Oryctolagus cuniculus: one gene and its partner. The protein of the gene in region 1 purifies or fractionates together with the protein of each later gene. This does not show direct contact. Links are inferred from orthologs where the notes say so. Each region holds a gene or a part of one and is shown in the gene's direction. Other genes may lie near its edges.

Region 1 (3,989 bases):
CCATATAGAGCACCTGGTCCAAGTCCCAGCAACTCCACTTCCAATGCAGCTTCCCGCTAATGGGCCTCCGAGGCAGCAGATGATGGCTCAAGTACTTGAGGCCCTGCCACCCACATAGGAGACCCAGATGGAATTCTGGCTCCTGGCTTCAGCCTGGCCCAGCCCCAGCTGTTGTGGGCATTTGGGGAGTAAACCAGTGGGTTCCTCTTTTTGTCATTCTGCCTTTAAATCTTTTTTTGAGAAATTGTGGTACAGTCATCCAGTGGAATACTATACATCAAAAAAGAATATGTTAACATGAGTGAATTCCAAAAATACAAGGCATGCAGATTGCAAGCCTAAAACATGCGAAAGAATAGAACTGAACTAGTTTATTGAAAGCAGGGAGAAAATAATACATTATCAATAGGGTACTTACGTATGCAGTTAAACTGCTGTTTTAAAAGCAAGGGAAGGGGCCAGTGCTGTGGTGTAGTGAGTTAAGCATCCACCTGTGGTGCCAGCATGTCATATGCGTGCCAGTTCTAGTCCCAGCTGCTCCACTTCCAATCCAGCTCCCTGCTGATGGCCTTGGAAAGCAAAAGTTACACAAGAAACTTTATAAGAAGTTTAAATAATTATGTCCATAGCAGAGTGCCTAGCTCAAGACCCAGAATTCAATCATGGTCTGTCACATGGGTGTTTAGACCCAAGTACTGGAGCCATCACCTCTTGCCTCCAGGGGTGCACATTAGCAGAAAGTTGCAATCAGAAGCCAAGTTGACTCAAACCCAGACACTCAGATATGAGATGTGGGCATCCCCAGCAGCACCAAATGCCCACCCTGTGGGCTTCTTAGGAGCATTTTGTTCTCTGTATTTAGGGAATGGGAGGAAGGAACTGTTTTACAGTGCAAAAGTTATTACACAAATTTAAAACACGTTCATAATTTAAATTCCAATTTAAATAGCACTTCAAATACATTTTAAAGCTCCATAAATTCGAGCTGAGTTGCAGATACGCAATTCTATGCAAAAACACATAATGAAACAGAATTCTGTCCCAAATGATAGTAACAGTGCTTTGCCAGGGTGGGAATGGGGTGGAAAGGGGACTAAACATTAACAAAGGCTTCTTTCCCCCATGCGATTTGCCAGGAGTTGAAGAGTTGTGAATCTTGAGCAGATCTGATTCATGTTCACCTTGCATTTGCTATTCCTCCTCACTCCCATATCAACACATCGCTTATCCAAGGGTACCGCAGGAAGTTCGTGGAAAACGGAATCGAAAGGTAAGTTTATTATGGAGCAAAAAGTGTCTGAACTCCACGCATAATTCCATTCTCCACGAATTTTCTGAAGTACCGTCGTTTGTAAGCAATATCGTATCGAATACATAACGTCCGTATGTGGTCACGATCTACTTCCTTACATCTTGTTTCCAAAGACGCCTGGCGCACTGGGAAAGACTTCTGCAATCGTTTCAGCCAGTCATCTTTCCCTATCTGGGGAAACCTCGTCTAGGTGAGCTTTCCACTACATTCTCGCCTCTGTACTCAACCTCTAAAAATTTAAACTTTACAGTGCCTTTGCTTCGGAGGGAAACCCGCAGCGCCTACTTCGGCCCCCCAATGGTTACCCCGGGAGTTCCAGCTCTGCGCACGCGCAGAGCCACTTCTACGCCGGGCGTGCGCAGGAACCTTCTCAGCGGCGGCGTGGCCGCTTCCGCCCGGCGAGTTTTGCTCGGGGCACGCAGGAGGCGGGGCTTGCCGGACAAGATGGAGTTGCTGCAGGTCCTGAAGCGGGGGCTGCAGCAGGTCAGCGGCCACGGCGGCCTCCGGGGCTACCTCCGAGTGTTTTTCAGGTAGGCAGCGGGAGCCGTGCTCGTGGTCTCCGGGACTTGGACTTGTTCTGGTTGGTTTCTTGGAAGGGGGCCCAAAGTTGGAACGCCTTTCAGAGCCGACAGTTGTGGTCAAGGACAGCTGGCCCAGTCTCTGCTTTGCAGCCCCCGGCCCAAGGCCCCGAACCTCCTCGAGACGGGGCCGAAGCCACCTCTAGAGACAGCTGTGACACGGACTGGGGGGCATCCGGCCCCTGGAGACTAAGTAGCATTACCGTTCACTTGGTGACCTTGGGAAAGTTTTTTCCCTGTCCTGGCCTTGGCCTCCAGTTCCTCTCTATGGTAAGGCTCTGAAAGAAGTGATCATGGTGCGCCCTACAACACCCTATCGTCACTGATCCGGTCTGGGCAGCCTGCTCCGCAGAAACCGAATTGGTGACCCTGAGTGGAATGGAAGAGCCAGGACACCTCGTGTCATTTTAAGAAGATGAAATACTTTGGCCTCCGGATATCTTGACGGTTTTGCTGCCTCCAGTGTCTCATGGGGCAGGGAGAGCAGATGAGATTTGAAAATAGTGCATTTCTGTTGTAATTTAAGCACGTTCCGTGTCTCCGTTTACCCTTTCCGGTTCTGGCTGCCTGACCCTACCACGAGTAGGGGAGCTGTCAACCTGGCGGCTGATTCTTCCACAGTGGGTGCCGAGAGCCTGGCGAGGAAGGCTAGCCGGCCCAGCAGTGACCGTGCCCACCCAGTTTCTAGTTGATGAGGCCGACTTGGGGTCAGGGAGTTGTATTCTCGTTTGTGTTTTGAACAAAGAACCACTCTAAATACCTGTTTTCTTTTGTGTATTCACAGGGCAAATGATGTGAGGGTTGGTACCTTAGTGGGGGAAGACAAATACGGAAACAAATACTATGAAGACAACAAGCAGTTTTTTGGTGAGTGTTGTATTTTTTGTCATGAACTATTGGATTGGGATTTGATTTGGGTGTTTTTTCCATAACAGTAGGAACGTTTACAAAGCACTTGGAAATGAGTGAAAAACTCAATAGAAAATGGACAAGAAAAACAAACTAAATGGCCACCAGAGGCATGAAAGATGCTTATCCCCACTCACAATTACAGGAATGCAACTTCAGAAAAGTGTTATCTTTTTTTCACCTATCAAATTTCGAAGTATCTCCCAGTGCGAGGAAAAGCATAAGAATACATCACTTAATGCTGTCTTTTTAGACAACAATTTGGTAACACATACAAAAAAAAAAAATTTTTTTTGACAGGCAGAGTGGACAGTGAGAGAGAGAGAGACAGAGAGAAAGGTCTTCCTTTTGCCATTGGTTCACCTTCCAATGGCCGCTGTGGCCAGCGCACTGCGACCGGCGCACTGCGCTGATCCGATGGCAGGAGCCAGGTGCTTCTCCTGGTCTCCCATGCGGGTGCAGGGTCCAAGGACTTGGGCCATCCTCCACTGCACTCCCGGGCCATAGCAGAGGGCTGGCCTGGAAGAGGGGCAACCGGGACAGAATCCAGCTCCCCGACCAGGACTAGAACCCGGTGTGCTGGCGCCGCGGGTGGAGGATTAGCCTAGTGAGCCGCAGTGCCGGCTAACACATACAGAATTTTACATTGGGTATATCCTTTCTCTCAGTACTTCTTCCAAGAATTCAAGCTATAAATATTCTTGCAAAAACAGAAATACCCATTGCACCATGATTTTAGTAGTAAATTCTAAAAGTAGCTTTAGTGTATTATCAGTTGGGTACTGATAAATTTGCACATTTCTTGTTAATGTCTCTAAACCTCAGTTTTCTCATCTTCAAGTAGAATGATCATATTTGCCCCAGAAGGTTGTATTGAAAAACAGCCATTTAGCCTGTGGTTAAGACAATATTGAAGATGTGTGTGTCCCATGTGGGAGTTCCTGGGCTCAGTCCTCAGCTCCATGTCCTAATTTTAGCTTCCTGCCAGTACAGACCCTTGGGAGCAGGAGTCATGGCTTCAATAATTGAATCCCTGCCTGCCACGTGGGAGACGTGGATTGAGTCCCCAGCTCCGAGCTTCGCCTTGGCCCAGTCCTGGCTGCTGGGAGCATCTGAGCAGTCAGCCAGCAGATGGGAGCTCTGCTGCTCTGTCACTTTGCCTTTGGAATAAAAAATGAAGAGTGAGTGGC
Region 2 (4,270 bases), on another chromosome or scaffold:
TTTCAAGCCCAAATACCTTCTCACTTATATCTTACACTGCTCGAGATGAAAATCAGTCATATCCTTCAACTGCACAAGTCCCTAAATTTCTAAGTGCTTTATTTCCTGAAATTACAGCTCCCAAATTGACCGATTAGTTTTTCAACTCTTCATTGCACAATATTGTCAACTGCAGACAATAACTGACACATGCTGTAACATATTCTTTACCTTTTCATTTCCCTGAATTCTCTGATTTCATCAGGGATATTGTCTTCTGATTCACTGAGATAAGTGTTTGCCCAAATGTTCCAGCACTGCACTATATATGTTGCCATACTTCTGGCCTCAAGTAATAGTTACCTTGTGACCTATTTGTCGGCTAGACCTGAATCCAACACTACCTACTTTGGGACTGTTGTGATGACATGTCACCACACTTTCAATGCCAGATTCTACTAGAGCAGGCTAGGCTATGTTCCATCAACAAACGACTACTCTCAAAGTTAGTTTCTTACAACAGTGGAGACCTATTTCTCATTCTAACACAGGTCCACTGCAGGTCAGCACGGGTTCTGCACCCAGCAGTTCTCATCCTGACACCAAAGATAACAAAATAGCCCCCTGTCTAGAACCCTGTGACCTTGGGGCAGAAGGAAAAGGGGAACTACGTGTCGGCTCGTAACACTTACGCTTACATATGACACATGTACCTTTGACATCTGCTAATAAATCAAACTTCATCCCAACGAGGCGGATGAGTGACATCTCTCTCCAGGAAGAGGCGGTATTCAACATCATCTACCACATGTACCTACCCTTACGAAAACCTAAGTGGGCTAAGTGGAAAAGAGCACCGAAAATCCATTTTAAGAGTGCAAGCTCGGGGCCGGGGAGAGAGTGAGAGCCACGTCACGGAGGACCAGGACCCGCAGGCGTAGCGGACACACTGACAGGACTACCGTCCTCTTCGAGTCATTCACCAGCTCCTAACCTCCGCCCCGCGAGCGGCAGTCTCAGGCAGGAAGCAGCTGCAGTCTTCAGAAACCGCAGCCGCTGACCTTCGCGTCCAGAGACACGACCCGGCCTCCCGGCGCGCGGCGTCCGGCAGCCGGAGGCGCGGCGCTGCTCCCTCAGCGACGTCCAGGGCCAGGCAGCGCGCGCCCGGCACGCGCGCCCCCAGCACCTCAGCGCGCGCCCGCGGCTGTCAGGCGCCGCGCGAGAGGCCCTCGCCCGCCCGCAGGCCTCGCGCCTCAACACGTGGCCTCTCAGGAAAGTGCCTGCCTGGTCGAGCGAAGGCTCGTGGAGCCAACCCATGAAATTACCCGTCCAAAATACACACGGAGCAAGAAGGAAGGCTGATTTTTCGCTCTGGCGTAGAATGGTCTTGCCTGGGCTGGTGAGGACCGACGGTGAGCCGCTGTGTGGAAGCAGGCACTGGCGAGGACAGCCGCATCCGGGCCCTCCCGCCGCAGGCTGCCCTCCGAGCCAGGGGTCCTTCAGGTGGGAGGTCCTGGGTGACTTTGGAAGTCCTCACTGCCGTGGTGTGGAGACTGTGTAGTCCCGACGTTCCGGGTTTGTCTGTCTGTCGTTGCGGACTTGGGAGTTTTGCTGCAGTTATGCTTCGCCAGATCATCGGTCAGGCTAAGAAGCACCCAAGCGTAAGTTCGGGACGTCTGGCCAGTGGCTTTGGTTGGTCTTGGTGCGGCTGCTCTGTCCCCTGGGAGCGTCCTCCCTTTCCGGGCACCTGCTGTCTGCCTCGGGGCCAGACCTTGCCTCACCTTACGCTGCGGTTCTGGTTGTCCCAGGCCCGTGGGCTGTGAGCCACGCCACGCTTTGCAGGCTCTTGGCTGACGGGCCGAAGGTGAGGTCCAGGGTTGGAACAGTCGGGACAGTCTCGCGCGGCCCTTGTCTCGTGCGGTCGGTGCAGCAGGGACAGATGGATTAGTGACCCCCTGAGGGACCTTCCCTGTCATGCCTCCTCTGGAGGGTCTTGTATTCACCGCATTGCACCACCAGGCCCTGTGGCAAGTACGAGGGGCCCAGGATCTTGGTGTCTTTACCTTCTCTGGATGCCTTGACATTTTGGGAATTTGTAGCGTGGAGTTTACTTGCAACTTCTTCTGTGTCTCCTTTTCTTCCAGCAACCCTCTGTGGGCCTAAAATTGAATTACGCATTCATTAATCTTACCTTAAGCCCAGTTCCCTACTCAGAATTGGTAGCAGTATGTTTTCATAGATGATGCTCACAGCCAGTATTAGCAGTAGACATACTTCTGTTGCAGGCTCCTAATTTCACAGAGATCTTGGTTTTCATACATCTGGTTGGAGGGACACTTAAACAGTTTGCAAGAGCTGTTTTTTCAAACCTCAAAGGACCCATAAAATTTAATGAGAATGATGTGTAAGTATTAGGTGAAAAAACTTGGTACCTCTGCAGATGCAAAAACTACTGTAAGCTCTTGTAAGTCAATATCTAGGTACTTGAAGATGGTAGTTGATTCTTGTCTGTTTTGTGTTTGTTTCTAGTTGATCCCCCTCTTCATATTTATTGGAGCAGGAGGTACTGGAGCTGCATTGTATGTCATGCGTCTGGCATTGTTCAATCCAGATGTCAGGTAAGTAAAAATGTTCAAAACTGTGATGGTTTATCAAGCTGGTTTAGGAGCCAGGGTTTTTGTTTGGAGACAGTAAGTACTAGAACAAACCTAGATTTTGTGACCATGTAGTAAGTTCGCATCCCTGTTTTGTTGTCATTTACTTTTCCTGACTCATGAACTTGTAGTTTCATGTTCTTACTGGTATGGTAGAATTGCAAATACCAAATTTTATAAGAATGTTTTGAGGATTGACATATTGTTCTTATGCAACACTTATATTTTCTGGTACATGCAAATATTTTTTGCCTGCTTTTCCATAATACATAATGTTTCTTTTTGTAGTTGGAAAATAATAAATGAGGTTCATTTAGCTTTATTCTCTGTACTTTTCTATGTATTGCTTGACTGATGATATATAAATGTTTAAGTTGTACTCTTTTGATGGGAATGGGGACAAGGACACCTGCCCCAAGAGACTCTCTTACCATTTTTATAATTGACTACATAGGGCTGTTTATTATAGAACTCATTGCTGTTTTGACTCCATAATGAAGGTAACAATATACTGTTTAGTGGAAAATGAGATAGATCCATTCAAAATACTAGCTTCCTAAGTACAAAACATTATTTTAATTGGAATGATTACCGTAACAATTATAATGTTTCATTCCTTGCAGTTGGGACAGAAAGAATAACCCAGAACCCTGGAACAAACTGGGTCCCAATGATCAATACAAGGTAAGCTACTGTTGTTACAGAATTGTTGGAAAATGTGTGGCGATAAATATTTATGTGGTATTTTTCTCTGGAAATTGGATATATAAGTAAAATTCCTTTACTTTGAAGACTTGCTAGATTGCTCTTGAAATTAAAATGGTGTATTATTTTTATAAATACTTTTTTCCTAGGGATTTCATTTCCAGTCTTTAGATGTTGGATATGAAATTAAGATAATGTGTCAAGTAAACTGTTTTGACTGAGATTAAAAGGAAAAAGATATTTACCATTTTTTAGTTTCGAGATAGTCCGGTGCAAACTTTGTTGTCCACAGAGGTTTTCAAAAGGAGAATTTCTTTAGTTCTTCCCTCAGACGTGCTGAGTCAGTTGGTCTGTTGTGGGCACTGAGGATTTGTATTTCCAGGAGATGCAGGTCCTCCATGGGCTATACTTTCAGTATTACTAAACTGTTGGGTGGTTTGGTTTGGGTATGATTGAAGTTTAGTAAGAAAAAATGAAAGTCATGTGAAAGTCAAATTTTACCTTGAATTCCTAAATAAGCCTTAACTGTCTACCTGAGTGTTCTGTGGAACCACTCTTCCTTAGAAAGATTTCATGGACTAAGTCCATGTATTGATTCCCCAACATTATTTTCCTTATGTGTAAAAATCTTGCATACAAATCCTTTCACAGTCATAGATTTTATCATATTTAAGTATTGAATACACATACCAAACATTTCTACCTGTTTAAAGTGTGTAGCTTGACCATGCACTTACATCGAACTTCTTCATCAAAAGAGAGTAACTGGAACTTTGCTTTAGCACTCTTGAATACTGCCCTGACCAGTATGTATCCAGGACCTCTTAGCAGATATATGAAATGGATATTCTCATTACTGCTTACAGCATATTTTTAAGATCAGCCTTTTTGTCCAAGTTTTCTACTTAACTTGATTGTAACTTAACTTGTAA

Evidence for each region. The genes of interacting proteins can lie anywhere in the genome.
Region 2: the proteins of NDUFA12 (region 1) and NDUFA4 purify together in Homo sapiens (affinity purification with mass spectrometry; 3 studies listed by BioGRID and IntAct, with this or other methods). This does not show direct contact. The link is inferred for Oryctolagus cuniculus from reciprocal best matches to the Homo sapiens genes NDUFA12 and COXFA4.

What each region holds. Positions count from the first base shown.
Region 1 is NC_091442.1:97,982,590-97,986,578, reverse strand, and holds the start of NDUFA12 (NADH dehydrogenase [ubiquinone] 1 alpha subcomplex subunit 12), read left to right. Parts: upstream 1-1,189; 5' UTR 1,190-1,270; intron 1,271-1,562; 5' UTR 1,563-1,609; coding exon 1,610-1,842; intron 1,843-2,674; coding exon 2,675-2,757; intron 2,758-3,989. UniProt on the Homo sapiens protein: Accessory subunit of the mitochondrial membrane respiratory chain NADH dehydrogenase (Complex I), that is believed not to be involved in catalysis. Complex I functions in the transfer of electrons from NADH to the respiratory chain.
Region 2 is NC_091447.1:35,093,111-35,097,380, forward strand, and holds the start of NDUFA4 (cytochrome c oxidase subunit NDUFA4), read left to right. Parts: upstream 1-1,470; 5' UTR 1,471-1,598; coding exon 1,599-1,640; intron 1,641-2,508; coding exon 2,509-2,597; intron 2,598-3,256; coding exon 3,257-3,407; 3' UTR 3,408-4,270. UniProt on the Homo sapiens protein: Component of the cytochrome c oxidase, the last enzyme in the mitochondrial electron transport chain which drives oxidative phosphorylation.